Stegostoma tigrinum: one gene and its partners. The protein of the gene in region 3 interacts with the protein of the main gene of each other region in a pairwise test. Links are inferred from orthologs where the notes say so. Each region holds a gene or a part of one and is shown on either strand. Other genes may lie near its edges.

Evidence for each region.
Region 1: the proteins of ipo13b (region 3) and paired box protein Pax-6 interact in a two-hybrid assay, tested with the Homo sapiens proteins (2 studies listed by BioGRID and IntAct). The link is inferred for Stegostoma tigrinum from reciprocal best matches to the Homo sapiens genes IPO13 and PAX6.
Region 2: the proteins of ipo13b (region 3) and pitx1 interact in binary tests that used the Homo sapiens proteins (3 or more experiments, as listed by UniProt). The link is inferred for Stegostoma tigrinum from reciprocal best matches to the Homo sapiens genes IPO13 and PITX1.

Annotation. Positions count from the first base shown.
Region 1 is NC_081370.1:42,718,480-42,726,365, forward strand, and holds the start of paired box protein Pax-6, read right to left. Parts: upstream 3,028-7,886; 5' UTR 2,778-3,027; coding exon 2,760-2,777; intron 942-2,759; coding exon 815-941; intron 1-814. UniProt on the Homo sapiens protein: Transcription factor with important functions in the development of the eye, nose, central nervous system and pancreas. Required for the differentiation of pancreatic islet alpha cells.
Region 2 is NC_081366.1:31,311,141-31,319,200, forward strand, and holds the start of pitx1 (pituitary homeobox 1), read right to left. Parts: upstream 3,066-8,060; 5' UTR 3,051-3,065; coding exon 3,036-3,050; intron 1-3,035. UniProt on the Homo sapiens protein: Sequence-specific transcription factor that binds gene promoters and activates their transcription. May play a role in the development of anterior structures, and in particular, the brain and facies and in specifying the identity or structure of hindlimb.
Region 3 is NC_081361.1:64,764,377-64,771,662, reverse strand, and holds the start of ipo13b (importin-13), read right to left. Parts: upstream 3,036-7,286; 5' UTR 2,376-3,035; coding exon 2,313-2,375; intron 1-2,312. UniProt on the Homo sapiens protein: Functions in nuclear protein import as nuclear transport receptor. Serves as receptor for nuclear localization signals (NLS) in cargo substrates.

The DNA of each region.
Region 1 (7,886 bases), on a different chromosome or scaffold from region 3:
GACGAAATAAAACGTTTCTTCTTCCTCTAACAGGACTGAAAAAATTAGCAGATCAAATATTCCGTTCTTCCCTAACCGGCGAATAAAGGCCAAATTCGATGCAAACAAGTTCACTTTTACAATGTCCTCACGGAGCATAACATGATATCAAAACTATTTAAAACCACTGGCTGCTGTTCTCGCTTTAAGGTTAGCCAATCAACTTTGTTTAGCATTACTAACTGAGATTAGTTTTTGGCTTTTAAAATCAATAAGGAATTGGATGGCAGGAACCAATGGCTCCACCCCAGGAATCTCTTGCCTGTGAGTTGATGATATTAATCGTTACCGTTAGCACAGGTTGGTGCAGTATAGTGCTATTAAAACACTTGCTGCCTAGAAAATAGCGTGCAATAATCTCCCAGATTAAACAATTCCTACAAAAACACGCTTCCTTTACTTGCACAGACGTAACAGAGAGGTTGTGTCAGATCATAGAGGCTATAGGAAACCCTGAACAACGAAAATGTCAAAAAGTTTATTAAACCATCTGTGCAATTCGTTTGAACTGGTCTTAGTACAATCACACTTTACGTTCCTTTCGCATTCTGTATTATTGCAAGGGGACGTGCTTTAGCGGACTTCCTGTCCGAAGGCAGCAGCGAATATTGTCGGTTTCAGAAGAGCTAATAAATTGTAAAATTAACGTTTTAATTTCAACCCCTCCCAACAGACAAGCACAATCTTCCTCATCTTGAGAAGTCTGACTCATTAATCGCACTAGCGCAGAAACAGACCTCGTCTCCTTGTATTAGCAAACCAAGCTACCAAGTACCTTTCACAATCCACAGAATACTTAAAGTCGTCTTGTCTAATCCAGTCGGTAGAATGTAGAGATGCACGATTTCTGACAACTTATCCCAGCGTCTGTGCCTGGCGGATACTTTATGCCTATCTGTGTACTGAACACAAAATATATTTTGAGCTATCATATCGACACGAACTGAGATAATACCCCATTATTTTTCGACTACACTCAGAGAGAATCTTTGCTGGGTGTGCCCGCCTGTTAGTTTTCTAGAGTCACTCATGCTCTATGACAAAAACAAAATTAAGAACAGAAACTAGATAACACGTCTCTATGCGGAAGCCTGCCCTCTCCCCGTTTAAGCAATTTTTAAAATCTCTGCACATGTGAATTGTACTGATAGCCGGAAAATGTTGCTCAATCAGATGTCCCGAAAGGTCAATGGGAGATTCAGTTTAAAAACACCTTCCTGGCGAAATGCAATGGGCTTTAAATGCACATTGGTCTGCATTGGAAGGGGTGGGGGTTAGTTGGGCAAAGGGCTTCTAGTCAGGCCAATTATGTTACAGACCTATCTCGACATGACAGCTGGATAAACAGTATCTCTGATAAACCTCTCTAATGAGGGAGGAGGGTCCGCGTTACAAGGCGCTTGATTTATTACAAAGGTATGGTCCACTACCGGTGTGCCCCATGTACAGTAGAACCTTCACCTGACCCCAGCTCCTAACATAGCCACAATAGCTAGCCCGGAATATGATTTGTGGTCCTCCGACGAGGAGGAGAAACTGGAATACACACAACAAACAAAGTGAAACCTCGTAAGGTGAGTTGGGTTATGCTTTTATATAAATGACCAATAACAAACTAAAGCATAAGTTGAACAGGATTCTTCAAATTCAGGTTGTGAAGTCTGAACCTTGATTGCCAAACAGGTAGTCCTAGGTTGATGTCTACGGCGCAATTATCCTGGCTAGTGAAAAGAGAACAATTCTTCTTCAACATAGCTGCAGATTCTTTCGCTTCGAAGAAGTTTCCTTTAAATGTCCTTTTTTGTTGTTATTGCATTCTTAATACGACACGACCGCGCTTGAAATTCACCAGTGAACTGTTAAGTATCTAAAACCCTAAAATCGCTCCGACATATTCAAACCCCTGACACGCACAGGGAAGTGACAGGGGCTTATGTAACATGAAGCCGCTGCTTGTATTTTTTTTTACCTTGATTGTTGCTTAGACGCCAAAAGGCCGCAGAAATCAAACGAGTTCTTGGGATTTCAAAGTGCTGCCAACCTGCGTGCAGCTCTTTCCTAAGACTCGACACTTTTTTAAATGGGGAAAATGAAAGCAACTTCGAAAAGCGAAGCCACCCAAATCTCCCTCGCAGATAGGAGTGTGATGTGGCTGGAGGTGATTGAAAAATCGTCTTTTAATGCCGTCCCCCAACCCACTCCTCGCCACCCCCGCTTCAGAGAGGCAGTTGTCAACTACAACAACAAAAAGGTTTGGTCTGTTCCCGTACCACCTGTTACCAGATGTTGAGATCAACTTTGCTGGAACCTCGCAGACCGTGTTTCCTATATCCTAGCAAATTAACTCCCCTTCTCCCGCGCCCCAGCACTTGCAGCTTGGTGCAGCCGCAAATTTTAGAATGATATTCGCCTGATGTAATTAATATTTGCACTCTGTCCGTCGCAACACCAGCAGTAAGTGTGATTGCTAGAACAATTCCGAAAGACGATCTCTAAATATTTCATGTAAACGGAGCTTATATCAGGCGTACAGAAAACAAAACACCGAAGTGTACAACGAGCATGTTACAGAGGTGGAAAGGATAACACAGAAATAGGCGATCGAAACAGATATTCTGCACACTCAAAATAAATAAAGGAAAGGAGGGAGAGAAGGTTATTAGAAGAAGCCAGAAGCAGACTGCAGCTGTAAGGTGAGGACGAAGCTGGAACTCTCGTACCTGAATCAAGTCGTACATCGGCGATTCAACACTTTCACTTTGGTTTCCCGGGTCCGGTCAGTGTATAAGAACGGTGGGAGGTTTTGGTCTCTTTTTTTCACATTGGGCTCTCGCTCAGAGTTTAAATGTCACCGGGACTATGGGACGGCTTTTCGTTCAAACACAAACTTTCCCCCTTAATATCAGTGTCAGGCCAACGCTGATTGGACCAGGCGCCTGCGTGACGCAATGACACCCTGTGCAAACACAAGGGCTGCACTTCACGCCAGGCCTAGCGCCGTTCTCGCTTCAAGTGGAGATTTCCTTCTGGTTAGATATGACCGCCACCTCCAACCCCACCCTATCCCCACCAACCCAATCTCCTCCTGTTAAAGAAACGCCGTGTTGTGACATACAGAAAGTGCGGAAGCACTCAGTGAATGCTGAAAAATTATTTTCTTTTGCCAATGTTACAATGCCCCTTTAAGAAAAGAGTGGCCTCGCGTTATTTCCCTTATAAGGCCATTTATCCTAAAGCAACATTGCAAGTAATGAGTCCATAAAGTTTTCATAGTTCTGACTCAGATTAGTGTTGATGGCAGCATAATGGATTCAGTCATCATTATATAAATATATGAATATGCAAATATGTCTCAAAGTCTATATCTTATATATCATATGAATGGGAGCAGCGAATTCTGCAAACTCGCACTGTGGCGATATTTTAATGACAGATTCTATGTGTACTCCAAAGCTGCATGTATACTGTAAGAATAGTACATTTTAAACAAGCACTGGAACTCGCTGTCAGTGAATTATTTTTGCTCAGCGTGTTTCCTATTTTGATATTTCTAAGGGTGCTTTGTGGTACACATGTATTTCAGGGTAAAGAAAGTGATGTTTATCTGGTGTGAAGTATTAGACACCAGACCTCATATAACAATTATTCACACAATTAAGTCCCACAGTCTGACATTAAGTGGGAAAACATTCACCAGAACTAATAATTGCTTGATATAATTTATCATTCACTTCAGGTCTACGGCCGTGTCTCCGTGATTTAGTCCGAAGTCACCAATAAAGTAAACATTGATCCATTGGTTCTCCGTTCTGTTTGTTGAATGGGTTCAGTCAGGTAGAAAAATCAACTTTCTGCTTCTGGCTGGATACCTTCATTAAAACGGTAACTAGCCTTAGCGCAGCGAAAACAGATCGAAAGTGCAACCCCTCCAACCGTATTACCTGACCCTTTATCTTTCAAACGTACACCCATTGCACACACCGTCTATGAAAATGCCTTAAATACTTGTCAAGAGGAATAAAATCAAGGTTTACATTTCCCGTCTACTGTAATGCGCTGTAATAAAATGATTTTTTCTCTTTATTCTTTAGAATATCTCAAAATACAGGAAGATTGGAAAATGAGCTGTGCAAACCTTTGCATATCTTCATTACAATTAACTAATGCATTTGAATCTTATTCATCGTTAAAGGAACATCCGGGATTATTCGGTTTAAAGATGTAAACTCAGAGGACACGTGCATATATTGGCCTCATTGTATCTGCATATACATGTTCATGTACGTATTTTGATCTCTTGCTGGTTATTTCTAATCAGCTTTAATGCGTGCATTTGCACCTTTGTCTTCACGATATTTATCAGCCTGTTTGGGCATTTAATTTACCACGCTCTCGTACTTCCTGCAGACTTGCTGGTTTTCACAAAGACCATTATTTATACACATTTTGTAGAGTAAATAATTTATTAGGAACTTCCCTCACACCCTCCATTCTCAGCAACGGTTTGCGGTTTCTAATGAACCATTCCAGCAAAATGATCTTCATGCGCGTTGCACTGTCTTGGTTCCGCAACTACGTGTGGTCCGAACGAGCCTGACTTTCACTATGAAAGTTGCATTGAGGGACTGAAGGACAAATCTGACCCACTTGGGCAACTTACGGCGAAAAGACACTGCGTTCCCGATTTTAAAAAAGAGTTCTTATTGGAGATTTATGCAACCAGTTGCAATGCTTGTTTTGCTACAGTGAGGAGAGAATGTTCATTGCTCCAAATTCACCTTTAAGAAGTCCTTGCTCAGGCTTGTCCTCGTTTGTATTAAAGGTAGGATACTCTATCACGTTTTTAAATCGGCCTAAATGAAGCAAAAGGCGTTTAAAATAAATGTGTGTGTTTGAAAGGAAACAGAAGCAAGTAGTGTTTGTTCCCACCGTGGATCTGGTGGAACAATATGTTGGCAAGTATGGCAGGAAGTGACTGTTTCAACAGATTTCTTTTAAAAGGAGAACTATCAGGGAAAAGTGCTTTGCTAATGATGCAACCCGTTGCTATTAGGGGATGGGAGCTCTGAAACCGTGCAACCGACCAGGGTTCTCCAAGGAAGCGCTGGAAAGGTCGCGCTGCCCCTTATCTGTCTCTCGGCAAAGGCAAGCGCCGCTAAAACAGAGCCAGGTGTTACCTTGCTCTCTTCAAACTGCACAACTCTCCAAAAGGAGCTCATCCGTGAATCAATCTGTGCCGCCAGACCCGTCGCCAGAGCGCAAGATTGTTCAAATGGCCTCCATCACGAGCATTTGATGAGTTTATTTTGTGTTTTAATTGTGGATAGGTGTCAGAGCGAGCGGAAGTTAACTGATTGTTAACGTGGTGTTGGGGCTGTTTCATCTATTCCTTTCTCGGTGTTAAAAGTTCTGCACTGTGATTGCAGTAGGAAAGAAAGCAATAGGTAGAACACGGGTCAATTTTTATTTTGGTGACATCACTGACTTACCACAGTTCTGTCTGTCCAATGCCTGGCTGTTCTAAGATGCTGTTGCAAGTTGTATCCAAAGTGAAATGGGTGTAAAATTGTGACTGTTTTACAATGTCGATTCAGTTGTTACTTAAATATTAAAGTTATTCATATCAAAATGAAAACTCACATTTTGTCGCATTATTGTTATTATTGTTTTAATAACTTGTTACAGTGCGTCGAGTTATAAAGTAAACAAAACACATAGATAAGCTTTTGTCTACCTTTTAAATCGGACAATTATATTTCGGTGCATTTTGCCCATAAAATATGCAATACTTGTCCTTCGCTTTACGGTGTGAATGAAAGATGTCAAATCAGTACCCCTTTGTACGTTTCACAGTCCCTGTGGGTGCAATGAACAGTGTGTTATGTCGGGTGGAAATTGATTGCCTTCAGTTGGTAGAAATTTACATGGCAGCATCAAGACTGTATTACAAGTGTAGAGTATTTGGACACAATTAAATGTCATTTATTCTATGGAAATTAGCATTCAGATCATTTGTTCAAAGATGTTCGTTGTGTATACACTGCGGATTTTTTGAAGAGTCAGAAGTAGGTGAAGATACCTCCTTGGCTGACAGAACATGTTCAATACTGCGGGTTTAAGATGTTATTTTACGTATTTTAAATTTCTTTGTATGATCTCACTTTACTGAAAGGCAAACCAGCTGTTTGCTCGATTTGCAGTTTGCATGGTGCCTCGACATTGCTCTTTTAAAGTGTATTTTAAGGAAGCTTGTATATTTTTCAGTCGTCTTTCACCTTCAGTTGGATTTGATAGAAGGAAATCGCATTTTTCCAAATGTCTTCAAAGGTTCCAATCTTCCACTTCCTTTTGAAAGCAAAGAGCATGGCAAAACATCTCTGCAAATGCATTAATGTGCTGACTCGTTAGGTGACTTCAAGTAAATGAGAGTTCCGTTTCTGAGTGTGGCCATCCACGCGGTTTACACATGTAGGCTCGCAAATCTGAGAGCTGCGGTCTCTTTAATGATAGCATTCTTAACATGAGGTGCAAGACTCCTGTCAGAAATTTAATTAATTAACCTGCCTATTCATGCAGTTTAAATAATGACATGAACCTGGCTGGCGCGTACTAAAATTATTTGAGAAATTGAATGCCTGGACAATGCGAGTGGGTTGGACGCAACGGCCGAAAGTTTCCTTTTTTTAAAAAAAAGAACTGTTTTATTCAATTTGGCAGGAATGACTAAGTGAAGTAGAATTTTGCTACAAGGGTGTTTGCAAAGCTACCTGGGTAATAACGAAATTTTGACCCGAATGGTCGACAGGTGAGCGAAATAGACTAAATCCATTTTAAGATTGAGTGCTACTGCGCCTTTACATACTGCAGCAGGCAACGTCAAAATGCATAACTAAATAAAACAAGCCTTTTATAGTCTGCAAACAACAATGAACTCTTATCAACCTAGTAATCCGTATGTCCTCTCCCACCTCCCTATCCTTAGCCCGCAATTCCCAACATGGCTTCCTGATCCTTAAATTTGACTCGACTGACTGGGGTCTTCCTGACACCCCCTCCAGTAATTGAAACGTATTCTTCCTGACACGGACACACACTGTATTTCATCTGTGATCCAACTCGAAGGCAAATGCTGAACAACGGTAATAAGTGTATACCAGATTACGATCACTCGGTGGATTCAGAAGGAGTCCGTTTCACCAAACGGTAACGGAAAATGTAACGATCTCAAAAAAAGGTCTGACTCATTTTGATCTGCACCTTCATCAAAAAGCGAGATGCAAACAATTAGTGTTTGTCTAAGTTTCGGGAGTCCATCTGCTTTCTTTACACTGTCGGTAAAGGAAGTCCATGGTAGATATTTTAAACAGAGGGGGAGGTGGGGGGAAATGCAAGGTTTCAACATTGAACCTGTAAAAAGCAACAGGACAACTCTGCGTCGTTCCTCTTCTTCACTGCAAGCAGGAAAAAATAACGAAAACAAAATATGGAGAATCGAATGAAACAATCCCGAAATGATCCAAGTCTCCCCTCAGTCCGATTTGTGGTATCAGGTTAATTTCGACATTGGTGATGTTTTACAGGACGATCAGCTTCCAAAGTTAATCCTATTGTCACTGACGAACTCGACTCAAACTCAAAACCGCCGTTTACAAACAGCTTTTGCTCCTTAAATATTCAATTACCAAAAAAAGCAGTTTCTTGCGGTAACCTTTGGAGCATCAGCAGAAATCGGGCAACTAGGCTACAATAGATAGTTTTATATGCGTAATATGCTTGTGATTTCACAAAATGCATATCAACTGACGTGATACATATTTCAGGAAAAGATCACAGAAAATGTTAAATCG
Region 2 (8,060 bases), on a different chromosome or scaffold from region 3:
CTATTTTACTCTATCCCAATAGTTTTAAAGTTGTGCCTCACCCTGAGTAATGCAAATTTCAGAAAAAAATCTAAATTCTTTATTCCCTAAAATTAACGCTCGTAGCTAATTAACAAATCAGTTCAGTAGTCAAGCCATTGACCCTTATATGTTTGAGTTGCCATTGACAAGCGAGATGCGGAATCTTGGCGCAAGGGACACACTGATTCTGTCAGCAATTTGCTTGTCAAATCCTTTTTCTTCATCGGATAGCATTGCTTGTTGATTATATTAACGAATACACATGTTCGCCCAAGTACAGTTTGCTTCCCCTTTGCCGACGAAAAGATAGCACTAGCGTATTTGAAACATTTATCTATTCCCAAAGGAGAAAATTTTCAAATTGGCCGTGTTGTGACTCCACATACAAATCGTTCCAATTATGGTCTTAAATACTACGATCAGCAGAACTCTCTGCAAAGGGCGGCGATCAGATTTCAGGATTTTCCTGACATATCCCCACCCCGCTTCCCATTCGTTTCCGTCCTGAGTTGGTAGAGGGAGAATCAATCCTCTGGCAGAGGCCATGTAAGGAGAAACTTGATTGCTTCTCACAATACAGTGTATAAACTTTTTTTTAAATAAAGAGGTTCCATCCGGGCTCATAGTGCCCACTTTGTGCCCGACACTTCAATTCTGGATACACATTTCATCCATTAGAAAAACTGCGTGAAATAATTCACCAACATCACACAAACGATGTAGCCAGATCTGTAGAAAATAGCAAAGGTCTCGGGATGACATCTATTAATTTGTAATGATTAGCCTCCAAAGAATACTGAAGTTCTTTATATGAGCAACGTTAACACGCCGAAGAATTTCACTCAAATATTTCAATCTATAACTGTTATTGATCAGGTTTCGGCAATGATAAATGATTTGGACAGAGTAACATTTCGTATTGGAAATTATCTTAGGTTTGCTCTGTGCAAATCTGCACTCTTAAATACCGCCGCCTCCGAACACGTACCCGTACGGCCTTCTCTCGTAAGATTTTCATCTCTGCCAGCGATCAGGTGTCTAGGAACTGGCCCAGGAACATTGTACAAAGATCAAATCGCATTGCTCCCCATTGCTACTTTTAAAGGTTGTTCGACATCATACCTACGGGCGACTATTGCACCACACAGTTCAAGGTAAGCCAGTTTTCAAGGTTGTCTCTTGTAAGGTGTTGGTAGATTACGTTCACGGAGAGCATTTGGACGGGGCTCAGTAACAAAAAAAACTAAATCTGTATAAGTGGATGTCTTGAAAAATCTGAAGGACATTTTACCTTTTTCGCTATGTGAAGTGAGTCAGGTGTTGGACGAAAATGACCTTTGCTAGTTTAACTGCAATGTTTGAATCTGAATGATTGCAGTTAACAAATCATTATATTGTAGAAGTAGAAAGGTACTACTGGGGCAAGTAATTGCAATCAAAGCCAATCCAGCAGGTAAGGCCTCTAAACAAACTAAACGATTATTCACTAGGTCTGTCTTTCACAGGATCACATTTGTCAAAGAAAATACTGTTCCACTGTCACCAACTTATCTTTTTAACTGGACTTTCGATTTCATTTGGCATTCACAGGGGCACTGAGTTAGGACACAGCCGTTATGCTGATACATACTAAATTCTTTAGCTTAACAGGAAATCACAGACTGACTGAAAATAAAATCGTGTTCACGTTCCAGTCCGGGGCATTCGGTTGCCGAAGATAAAAAACACACAAAAAAAGCAAAGAAATGCGGGTGCGAAGGGTCAGTGGATCCGAAATATTAACTCTGATTACTCTCCATAGTTGCTGCAGAAAAGCTGCTGAGCTTTTCCGGCAATTTCTGTTTCCAATTTATAAAAACCACTAATTTTGATCTTGCAAATCTTGTAAATAAATTTTGTAAACAAAGTTATCGGTCGCAAACTATCCACCCAAAAGCTGTTCCGCACACGTATGCATTTACATTACAGCCTACATTATTGCTAAAATCTATAGCCAAATACAGTTTTATTTACCTCAACACGTAGTAAGTGTTTGTTTACATTAAAGAACCAGCGTGAACACTCTCTTGTTCTTTGATGGAAACACAAATCTCTCTACCAGTAGCTTCTAGGGACCGGGTTGCCTTCGATTCCAGTCACTTAACGTTTTCTCGAGTTGGATCTGTCCCCAGGTATAATTATCATCGTGCGTTTATGGTTTGTTTTGTTTCCAAGTGCGAATCTATGACTGCCTGTAATCTACCCGAACCCAATAGCGACATATTTCATTTAAAAACTATGCGTGTTATTTATTTTTGCTCGCTTTCTATACTTTATCGCTGCAGTAACATGTTGAACCACGCTAACAACCGCTCTGCAGGTTGGGTCGAGATCCATTCTGAGAGCGTCTGTAATGCTGCTGCTGAGGAAAGGGCCTTCTCTCTCTATAACCCGACAGCAAAACTTCGATTGTTTAAAATCTCAAATCAAGAAGTTATATTCGGTCAGAAACAAATACCGTAAAGTAAGAAAAAGCCGATTATAAAGTTTTTCAAATAGATAGAAGGCGAGGACTAATTTATACTCCTCGCTTGTCTACCAGGACTCGGTTTCACTCCATCATGTACAAACATCGTGCTGAAATGAAACAAAAACAGAAATTGCTGGGAAAGCTCAGTAGGTCTGGCAGCGCTTGTGCAGAGAAATTCGAGTTAACTTCCTCGGAACTCATCTGCAGTTTTTTTCTGGTTTCCGCGCTGAAATGACATTTTCAAACTTTTTGGTGTGCTGCATTCGAGAGGAACTGTCGGGTTCCCTCACACGGCTTCTATGCGGTGTGAAATAACAGAAAATACCCCAAACCCCGCCGCAACGTCAGAGTTCTAAGTGAAAAAAAAAGCCCCCTCAAAATCTCTATTCCCACAGTCAGCGAACAAAATGCCCTGGGAAAGCGCAAGGTTCGAAATAACATAGCGGGCGGGAGAGAATGAAAACCAAACAGTAAAGAATAAATACGCCTGACTGGCTGCTTTTACCTGACCTTTAATCATATTGCCTTGGTCTGCTCGTCTTTGTGAGAATCCTGTTTGAAATGCTGGTGAGCAGCTGAATTTATCGACATTGCAACGTTTTTACAAAAGCACGTGTTTTCATTTCCCCCATTCTATTCTTCACGCGGGCGAGCTAGGAGCGAGGGGACTCACCATTTATGTGCATGACTTGCAGCTTTCGCTGTCTTCGGTACATGCTGTTTCCGCATGAATTGAAAGCATAGTTCCAGCGCAGTGCAGGAGGCCGGCTGGCTTTGCACTCGATCCGGAGTTTGGTTCCGTTCCTGAACCTCGGCAGCTGTCTCCCTGGCTGACAGGTGACGTCAGGCCTCCCACCCTCGGGCCAGGGCTGTGTGTGTGCGCTCAAGCACAGCACAGGTTATGTAAGAAGCTGGATGTCATGTTTGTTTCGTTCAGGGCAAATGAATGAGTCGGCGCTCTGTGCTCGGCAGTGGTTATAACTGGGAGAGAATGGGTGCAATTCTAACGGTTGGTAAAGGCAGAGGAAGCTGCTTCTTTAAGGTCGACCACCCTCTCTCGTTGGCTTCCATTGGGGCATTGGCACAAGACCCTCCCTCACAATAAGAATTACTACAGTCATGTCCTAAGCCCCTTTGATCCTCGGCAAATTATGAGCACCTTTCATCTGTTTATGTTGGAATATAAACTAAAGTGTTGCTTTCATAATCTTTTAGAAGAGATTACATTGTAAACAAGCGGATTAGGTACATTAACTTTCCTAGAAAGAGGACATCGGTTTTTATTTGGTATTTAATTGCCCAGAGGACGCACTTCGGTGCAAATTCAGTCGTGACAGCTGGCGAATTGTTTATTATTAATTAATTCATTTCACAATTTCCAAGAGAGAGAAGCGCATCACATACATATTTCACCCTTCAGCCCTTCACTAAGCATTTCACCGCGTCACATATCCCCTGTGATAAAACAGGGCCGTTCGCTCTGAGTTTACTATTGCGGAGGGGAACTGACTGTCCGGACGTACAACGTAGCGAGCGGGCCTTTCTTGGAACGGAGGCACTAATCGGATGGGAATAAGGAACTCAACAAACCAGCCACACCTGGGTGTAAAATTCACCCCAAACGCTCTCACATTGTTTAGTGGGGGTCCAGTGTTTATGTGATTGTGCCGTGGGCCTTTGTGAGGTACACTGTTACATCATGAAAAACAGTAAACATTTCGTTATTTATAAACACCCAACTGGAACAATTTTATTGTTTTACACAGCTCTACAATAAATTAGTGAATTTAATTTTAACGCTGAAACCATTACGTGTCTTCAACCCATTAAGCAAGTTTAGCGTGTCGCTGTCATCCAACTGGCAGACAGCACTTGTAGTCAAATCCCAATTTGTCTGCAGAAAATGTGCAAACCGGTGCTGTGAGACATTCAGCCGCAAGTTTTGGATTGGACACAGAGCGAAATGTAATCCCAAAGGCATGTAAGTAGGTTTTAAAAATGCTCCAAGTATTCCATTGCGTCGCCAGTACATTTTCTACACTCGTTTTTATGAAGTGAATACTTCTGTTTGAGTTTGTTAAAAAATGTACTGGCAGAGAGAATGGAGTTCTGCGCACGTGTGCAAGTATACACAGCTTCATTCCCTAAGTAGTCAGAATGCAAGTTTTCAGTTTGTTTGCACACGTTACATTGTTGGCTGATCTTCCTACTAAGCAGATTTCTTAGTTACAGTATAACCATAGTCTGTGTGGTATATAAACATTAAAATCAATTATAGCACTCTGTTGTTTTGAGTAGAAATGCAATTATCAAAATGTATGTGTAAATACTTTGTGTGATGGAGAAACACAAATTAGGTGTTACCCTGGCTCACTGATTGTGCTTTTGTGTCTTAGTCAGCATGTCATCAGTTCCTTCCAAAGATTGGAACATACTTTATCCAAGTTGATGCTTTCAGTGGAGGGTTCAGGGAGTGCTACATTGGCAGAGGTGCAATGTTTCAAATGAGATGTTGAAGCTGAGGTCTCGACTATGCTATTTTTCAAAATAGAATGGAGGCCGACTGTAAAATAAAACAAAGAACGCGGATGCTGGAGATCTGGAACACACAAAAACAGAAGATGCTGGAGGAATGTACTAGGTCGGCCAGCATCCGTGGAGGAAAAACAAAGCTGCACTTCGAGTCCAGTGACCCAATACTTTGCCTTCTCTCCACAGACGCTGTCAGACCTGTTGCGTTTCTCCAGCAGTTGCCGTTTTTGTGTGCTAGGGGACAACGCTTGCAGACCTGAAGAACATGTACGCGATAGTTCTCCAAGAACACCATACTTGGATTCTTGTGTGACCTCACGCTAAAGAAAATCGCCATAGAAAATCGCGTTATTGGGGAATTACTGTACTGTACTGCAGAAAGTTCTCATTATGGAAACAGCGTCCACAGTTCATCAATCGTGTTACAGCCAATTCGCATTAACAAAACATGCGTTATAGCAGAACTACCTGTAATTGTGAACCAACATCACCACTTCAAGAGGCCAGGCGCCAGCTCTCTGACACCTCTTGCTCCCGCCTCCTTGATCATGACCCTACCCCAACCACCAAATCATCATCTCCCAAACCATCCACAGCCTCATCACCTCAGGTGACCTCCCATCCACAGCCTCCAACCTCGTGGTTCCCCAACCCCACTATCTCTTTCCCAAAATCCACAAACCTGGCTGCCCTGGTCGACCCATTGTTTCCACCTGCTCCTGCCCCACCAAACTTATCTCCAACTATTTTGACTCCATTTTCTCCCGCTCAGTCCAGGAACTTCCTACCAATGTCCGTGACACCACCCATGCCCTCTACCTCCTCCAAAACATCCACTTCCCTGGTCCCCAACACCTCATCTTTACCATGGACACCCAGTCCCTATACACCTGAATTCCCCATATAGATGGCCTAAAGACCTTCTGCTTCTTCCTGTCCCACAGACCCAACCAGTCCCCTTCCACTGACACAATCATCTGTTTAACTGAACTTGTCCTCACCCTCAACAACTTCTCTTTCAATTCCTCCCACTTCCTACAGACAAAGGGGGTTGCCATGGGTGCCCACATGGGCCCAAGCTATGCCTGCCTCTTTGTAGGTTATGTGGAACTATCCCTCTTCCGTACCTACACTGGCCCTACACCCCACCTCTTCCTCAGTTACATTGATGACTGTATTGGTGCGGCCTCATGTTACCATGAGGAGCTCAAACAGTTCACCCACTTCACCAACACCTTCCATCCCAATCTTAAGTTCACCTGGACCTTCTCTGATACCTCCCTCTCCTTCCTGGACCCCTCTGTCTCCATCTCTGGCAGCCACCTGGAAATTGATATCCATTTCAAGCCTACTGACTCCCATAGCTACCTAGAATACACCTCCTCCCGCCCACCTTCCTGCAAAAATGCCATCCCCTATTCCTAATTCCTTCATTTCGGCCACATCTGCTCCCAGGATGAGGCATTCCACTCCCGTACATTTCAGATGTCCTCATTTTTCAAGGACTACAACTCTCCCACCTTAGTGGTCGACAATGCTCTAGACCGTGTCTCCCACATTTCTCACAACTCATCCCTCACGCCCCCTCCTGACAAGAACAACTAAAACAGAATCCCCCTCATCCTCATGTACCACCTCACCAACCTCCGGATCCCACCAGTCATCCTCTGACACTTCCGCCATCTGCAATCTGACCCCACCACCAAAGACATTTTCCCCTCCCTACCCTTATCTGCTTTCTGGAGGGACCACTCCCTCCGTGACTCCCTTGTTTGCTCCACACTCCCCTCCACCACACCCGATACTTTCCCCTGCAACTGCAGGAAGTGCTATGCCTGCCCCTACACCTCTTCCCTCACCCCCATCCTAGGCCCCAAGAAGACTTTCCACATCAAGCAGATGTTCACCTGCACATCTGTTACTGTGATACACTGCGTCTGCTATTCCCATTGTGGCCTCCTCTACATCGGGGAAACCAAGCGGAGGCTTGGGGACTACTTTGCAGAATACATTTGCTCGGTTCGCACTAAACAACTGCACCTCCCAGTCATGAACCATTTCAATGCCTCCTCCCATTCCTCAGATGACATGTCCATCCTAGGCCTCCTGCAGTGCCACAACAATGCCACCCGAAGGTTGCAGGAACAGCACCTCATATTCTACTTGGGAACCCTGGAGCCCAATGGTATCAATGTGGGCTTCACAAGCTTCAAAATCTCCCCTCCCCATGCCACATCCCAAAAACCAGCCCAGCTTGTCCCAGCCTCCCTAACCTGTCCTTCCTCCCACCTATTGTCTCCTCCCACCTCAAGCCCCAACCCGATCTTCTACCTACTAACCTCTTCCCGCCCCCTTGACCTGTCCGTCCTCCTTAGACTGACCTATTTCCTCCCTAACTCTCCACCTACACTCACCTTTACTGGCTCCACACCCGCCTCTTTGACCGGTCTGTCTCCTCTCCATATATCTACTCCTCTATCCATCTCCTATCTGCCTCACCCTCTCTTCCTTTTTATTTCAGAACCCCCTTACCCTCCTCCATTTCTGAAGAAGGGTCTACACCTGAAACGTCAGCCTTCTGCTCCTCTGATGCTGCTTGGCCTGCTGTGTTCATCCAGCTCTACACCTTGTTATCTCACATCACCCATCCAAGAAACTTTTCTTCTCATGCAGGTTGCTTGAAATTATAATGGAAATTGGCTGCCTACATTTCCCAAAATCAAATCAATGACTATATTGTTAAACATCAGGACAGGTTTACAAGAAAACTTACTCAAATTTGACATTTAATTAAATGAGCACCTTAAAAGGGGAATGGATTAGGAAGGCAGTTTGGAGGGTTTATGAGGCTGAAGGTACATTTGGAAAGACAGAGCAATTCAAATCAGGGATGTATATGACAGCAGAATTGGAGGATAGCAGAGGGCTGCAGGGGCAGAGAAAAGTACATAAACAGGAATAACAAATCAATGGATGGACTCAAAAGAAGGACTAAAAT
Region 3 (7,286 bases):
AAAGGGGACTAAATGCAAGAGAACAGGGACTGGAGAAAGAGATCACCGAGCTGTTCTCCTACGATCAAGACAGCCAAGACTGGAATTAACCCAGTGTAAACCCACCAACGTGCACACCAGAGAAAAGGCATTGAAGGACAAAGGTGTGGATGGTCATTTCAACAATTATACAGAGGTCAAGGAAGGAAAATGCATCACAGTTTGTGGATGTAATTAGCTAATTTGTAAAAAGCTGTCCCAGTGCTGCAGTAAAGACAGAATACAGATTCAAGCATGTACTGCAAGAAAGAAGAACAGAGATTTGGGAAACAGCATGATCTAGGACCTCAGAGGAAGACTGCAGGTAAATGATTTGGAAAAGGAGGCATAGATGGGGGTACGATGGTGAGGGTGGAGGGACAGGGTGAAGTGGCCTTTTAAGGACCGAGCAGATGATAAACATTTTAAAAAGAGGGAAGCATGTATAGTGTCTCTTTGCATTATACCAGCAAGGGAAGCTGATTGGTTTGAGGTTGAATGATAAGGCAATTGCAAATAGTGGAATTCAGCCCGAGACAGTTGATGGGGAAGCAACAGAATACATGCCAAGAGTGTGGCACTTCTAGCATGATAAAGATAAAGCTTCAGACTTCCTAATGTCAAACCAGAGGAAATTTTAACTCATCTAAAATTAGATATTTTTGTATTCCCTCAGTGACCGGCAGACCTACGCACCAAAACTTGTTGCTGCTATGACATTGGCTTCAGGTATAGCATCAACTCCTGCATGCCTTCAGCACCCAGATCATCAGGTTCACCTCACTGCTTCTCTCATCTTCTGGAAAAATGTCTTAAAAATCAACGTCCGAAAAATTTAACTCACCAACCACTGACTTACCATAGTTTTCTGTTACTCCAATAGCATAGGAATAATTTCTGTAAAGTCATAAATACAATGTGTATTTTTTTCTAAATTGTCTAGTTAAACAGACATGAAAAGCTGCAGATGTATTTCAAAAGAGGTAACTTTGAAGGGATTACTATTTTAAAAAAAACTTGGATTTCTAAAAACAATTTCAGCAATGCAGCTTCCGGATATTCCTTCTAGTAAAACTTTATTGGCTCAGGGAGAAAGCAAAGGTGACTTAAAACTACAAACAACAAAAGCAAAGCTGCCGGAAAAGCTCTGCAGGTCTGGCAGCATCTGTAAAGGAAAAAACAGAGTTAACATTTCAGGTCCAGTGACCCTTTCTCAGAACTGGACCTGAAACATTAACTCTGATTGTTCCTTCACAGATGCTGCCAGACCTGCAGAGCTTTTCCAGCAACTTTGTTTTTGTTCCTGATTCACAGCATCTGCAGTTCTTTTGGTCATCACTTAAACTCGGTTCATAGGTCAAACACAGTTCTGAGCTGAGCTTATGGATCAGAGAAGAAGTTCAAAGAAGGTGAAGAAGAATCATGCTAAGGGAAGATCATCTTTCAGGAGGTCTATACATTTTAAGAATGGAATTTAAGTGCAAAGAAGAGACCAAAAACTCTGTTCTGACCTAATTACACTTTGCCTGTTCTAAATCAGACTGCCCTGACCTCATTCTCACATTGGTTAAACCTCCCACAGCCAAGATTCTGTTTCCCAAGCACTGTTATTGACAAGTCAGCTTCAACTCAATAACTCATGAGCATAATACAAAATAGTTGAAAAGGATTGATTTACATAGCACTTGTTACTGAAGTCATAAATAATCCCATACAATAAAATAACATAGGCATGCATTATAAAAGATCACTTTCATAAAAGGACCTTGATATGTCAACAAGTAGCTCTATGTTCAAAACATTAAACATCCATGCAGACTTCATGTATGATGTCACTTAAAAAAATGCATTCCCCCTCAGGCTAAATAAAGCAAGCTAAGTGTTTCTTGCTCCATTCTGAAATCAAACAATATCAGCCTTAGATATTTACAAACAAACAGATTTGTGAAACAAAATATAACAAGCGATTCAAAGTTAACATGTTAACCCCATTCATACATCAGAAGTTTAGCTCCAATAATTGTGTCAAAGGTAACTGTAGTTGATGGTGCCATTTAATAATTTTTTAAAAAAATTTACAATCTGGCTACAACGGGTACACTTTCTTTATTACTAACTAGACAAAAAGACAATTTTCTAATATTGTTACATTTACGGCTCAGTATTAATGGAACTAGGTATACACATGCCTGGTAATGATTTTGAAGTACCTACAAGCTACGAGTTCACAGAACACAATTAGGATGATGAAAGGTAACGTGTTACAAATAAACGAAACTGATATATAGTCTTACCTTTTCGACGTTTGCTACTGAGTAATCTAAATTATCTTCGCTCTCTCCTCTTTCGCGATCCATTTTTAGTGCTGGGAGGGAAGAATATTACAGCCTATTGTTGCTTTTCCCTTTCAGTTTACCAGCAGCCCTATCGTGATGGAGGTGGAAGGGGGGGGTTGGGGGGAAAAGGGGAGGGGTTGATGACAGTCAGGATGACCCTGTACCAGTTTTCGCTTCCCTCCACCTCAGAATGATAGCCTAAGCAGACCTCCTTCTTTGTGCGCCCTTTCCCTCCTTGGCCAGCTCTCTTTAAATTAACTGGGAGCGCTGCATCGTCCGCCCTGAATGAATCACAACGTGGACGATAACAATGGCGATTGCTCGGAGAGGTGGTGAGTGGCTACACACACTGACTTGCTCTTCTGCTTTGAATTTCTCGCAGACACCTCAGGGCCTGCGCTGACAGATCCAAGGGGTCCTAGCGGCATCAAGGGTGGTTGCTCAGGCGCCGTTTCCAAAGGAACGACTAAAATAAATAAATCAGCAACTGTACCCCTACAACCAGAATTATCTTTTCGTTTTTGACAATAAGGGGAAGGACATAAACAAATAAAGGACTTGCACTTGTTAACTGGCCCTAGGGACCATTTGAAAATCAGTGTTTTAACCTAGCTGGCGGCACTACACAGAAGCGCATACGCATTTTGCCAACCAGCAGACTGGATGATGTCGTTGTCTTCTCTGCCGTCGAGCATTCTGGGTAATGTAGTCCTCAGTCCCACCACCACCGTTCAACGCAATGTAATTTCCCAACTGCCACCTTCCTCCGCACCTGATACAACAGTACTTCATTTCCCAAGGAGCATTGCGCAAACACTCCGCAAACTCACCGCAAGGCAGAGAAGATCCCACGTGCCCAGATTGCTGCCGCATTGATTGGGTAGCCAGGTTGATCAATTAGCACTTGTGTGTTCAGGTTCATGCGGGACGGGATGTACTGCTCTAAGCTGCGTCTTTGACGCCGTTATTAAAATAGGCGAAGAGCAACTACGTTTATATAGTCCATTTGTTTTAGGGAAACGCCTTAAACAGCCTCCCAGAGGATTAACCAAGCAAAACAAAAAATGGATTCGAGACAAAGTGAGGAATAAATGTTCAAGGGTCGAAACGTGTTTTTTTTAAACGAATGACTTTTATTTTTACAATTCACCGCCGCTAATTCTATCACTCAATCCGATATACTTTTCCGTCAAATAGCTCTGCTGTCGTCTAAGGGTAATAGTGTCCCTATCATTTTTCCCTAGAAAAGCATATGTATATTTACACTTATTGTACTATTGATAAAGGAGGTATTCTTATAGATGCCATTTCCAGACACACAGAATTCATTTTCAAGCGTGAACTTTCACATATAAGAATATACGTTCACTTTAAAAGCATGCATGGCAGTACCTACTTCACGTCAATAATAAAATACAAACCTGCATTTATTTCAGATATAGCCATGCATACATGAATGTGCACACAAAAATCCCACAATCCTTCTTCTTCCAATTATCAACAGCATTCTTTCCTTTAACAGATTAAGTCAAAGTGCTCCTGAATTTGCTGATTTTTAAAAATGTGTGAGCATTGTCATTGGTTATGCTTATCATACAAGGCATCGCATTCTGGCTTGCTGGAGCTCTTTGTGAATATTGTTTCCTTTCCTCACAGTGATTCCAAAGTTTCTTTGAGCACATGCATATCCGAATTGCATTGTATTTAGGATTGAGAGTGGGTCAAAAACTAACTACATTCTAACTGTTTAGCTAACTTCTGATTCAGTATCAATTCCAAAATATCATGTACTTTGGATGTGTTCATCAATCATTTGATTTAGTTGCAAGTTTATATGCTGTTAGTCAAAATAATGTGGTAAAGGTGTTTTGAGTTGATTCACAATGTTCCACTATAGAGTCATAGAGCTGTACAACATGGAAACAGACCTCATCCATGCTGACCAGATATCCTAAATTAATCTAGTCCTATTTTCCAGCATTTGACGCCTATCCCTCTAAACCCTTCCTATTCATATACGCATCCAGAGAGATGCCTTTTAAAGGTTGTGGTTTTACCAGCCTCCACTACTTTCTCTGGCAGCTCATTCCATATACACACCACCCTCTGTGTGAAAACGTTGCCCCTTAAGTCTCTTTTAAGTATTTTCCCCTCACATATAGCAGCCTCCTGGCTGCTAAAACACAGATTGCCAACTTGGCCAAACAGCAAGGAGTATGGAGGAGTGATAATGGGAACTGCAGATGCTGGAGAATCCCTGATAACAAAGTGTGGAGCTGGATGAACACAACAGGCCAAGCAGCATCTCAGGAGCACAAAAGCTGACGTTTCGGGCCTAGACCCAGAGATGAAGGGTCTCTGATCTCTGATGAAGGGTCTAGGCCCGAAACGTCAGCTTTTGTGCTCCTGAGATGCTGCTTGGCCTGCTGTGTTCATCCAGCTCCAAACTTTGTTAGCAGGGATATGGAGGACACTGGTCAAATGAAACTGTGAAATCACAAAACCCATATACCTCACACAGTACAAACACAGCATCCAGATGCTAATGATATTAGCATAATGTAAAAGCCAACAGTCTGCACAGACACCCCAACAATTTAGCCAAATAAAGGGCAGCCCAGACAGAAAGACACTGAGTCCTGCTACACAAAGTAACTTGACAGTCGCAGGCCATCTAAATGATTGACTGAGTGGAGCTGGAGGAACACAGCAGGCCAGACAACATCTGAGGAGCAGAAAAGTTGACATTTCAGTTCAGCAGCCTTTTTTAGAACTGGGGAGGGGAAAGGGAGCTCAGAAGTAAACAGAGAGAGGAGGGGTGGGTCTGGGGAAGGTAGGTGAGATGGTGATAGGTGAGTGTAGGTAGGGGTGGTGGGGATTGGTCAGTGGGATGAAAACGGGGGTGGGGAGATTTTAAAGGTAGTGAAAATCCATGTTTAGGCTTTCAGCTGTAGGCTCCAGAAGTGGAATATGAGGTGCTGTTCTTTCAATTTCTGGGTCGTGTCACTGTGACACTGGAGGAGGCCCAGGATGGACATGTCACCCAGGGAATGGGACGGGGAGGTAAAATCGTTGTCCTTTGTCATGCACAGAGCGCAGATGCTCGACAAAACAATCTCCAAGTCTCTGCTTCGTCTCACAGCTGTAGAGGAGGCCACATTGGGAACAGCAGATGCATCATTCTGCCTCGGGAGTCTGCAGACCGATGGCCTAAACATGGATTTCACCAGTTTTAAAATATTCCCAACCCTGGCCTCATCCCATGTCCAACCTTCCCTCTCATCCCAGCCTCCTTGACCTGACACAACCTGTCCATCTTCTCTGCCACCTATCCACCCTTTCCACCTCAATGACCAATCCCCACCACTCCCTAACTGTATTCACCTATCAACATCCCACTTACCTTCCCCAGCCTCATCCCTTTCTCTATTTATTTCTCAGCTCCCGTCTCTCTCCCCTTTCTGAAGGGTCCTGACCCGAAATGTCAAGTTTCCTGCCCCTCCAATGCTGTCTGGCCTGCTGTGTTCCTCCAGCTCCATACTGTGTTGTCTCTGACAAGAGCATCTGCAGTTCTTGCTATCTCTAAATGACTGACTTGTGTTTCGAACTATTAAGTGCATCTCCCTGATTGGTCAGAACTCAAAGTTCCAGAAAAACATCTAAAATGAATAAAAACAGAGTTCATCTGCAGACTTCTCTCTCGGAACCATCCGAGGCCTTCGAAGCAGACCAGAAAGGCTGGAGGCAGAGATCAGCTGATCAGACAGAGGGAGGAAGAAGAGAGATAACAAGGTGTAAAGCTGGATGAACACAGCAGGCCAAGCAGCATCAGAGAAGCAGGAAAGATGACATTTCAGGCCGAGACCCTTCTTGAGTTCTAGAGATCAAGCCGCAGGGAGAGCAACTGTGTAAATTTATAAGATACTGAGGAAGTATTGTAACTGTTAGCGACCAAAAAGGATTGGGATAGTATGTTTATTATTAATGAAGGAAGGAATGTTTTGCTCCGGTACTGGCTTGTGTTCATATTAATTTGACTGCTTTGGTATTGTGGGACACCTGGGCAAATTCATTCATAAACTTCTCGTTGGAATTGTCTGCAACTTGTTTAAAGAGGAACCAGACAAAACACCTTAAACCTACACCTTCTAATTTTGGACTTCGCCCTCATGCCCCTCATGATTTTATAAACTTCTATAGGGTCACCCCTCAGCCGCCAATGCTCCAGGGAAAACAGCCCTAGCCTATTCAGTTTCTCCCTGTAACTGAAACCCTCCAACCCTGGCAATATCCCTGTAAATCTTTTCTGAACCCTTTTAAGTTTCACAACATCCTATAGCAGGTAGATTAGAATTAGACGCAGTATTCCAAAAGTGGCCTGACAAAGTCCTGTACAGCTGTAACATGACCTGTCAACTCCTATACTCAATGGGACTGACCAAGAAAAGCAAGTATATCAAACACCTTCTTCTCAATCCTGTCTACTTGCAACTCCACTTTCAAGGAACTATGAACCTGCATCCCAAGGTCTCTTTGTTCAGTGACACTCCCTGGGGCCTTACTATTAAGTGTATAAGTTCTGCCCTGATTTGTTTTTCCAAAATGCAGGACCTCAAATTTATCTAAATTAAACTCCATCTGTCACTCCTCAGCTCATCTGAGATAACCGTCTTCACCATCCACTACACCACCAATTTTGGTGGCATCTGCAAACTTACTAACCATCCCTTCTATGTTCACATCGGAATCATTTATATAATTGACAAAAATCAGTGGACCAGCACCAAACTTTGTGGCACAGGCCTCCAGTCTGAAAAGGAACCCTTCACCACCATCCTTGGCCGAGAGCCTTTGCGTCAGTTCTGTATCCAAATGACTACTTCTCTTTGTCTTCCACGTGATCCGACCTTGTTAACCAGTCTACCATGGAGA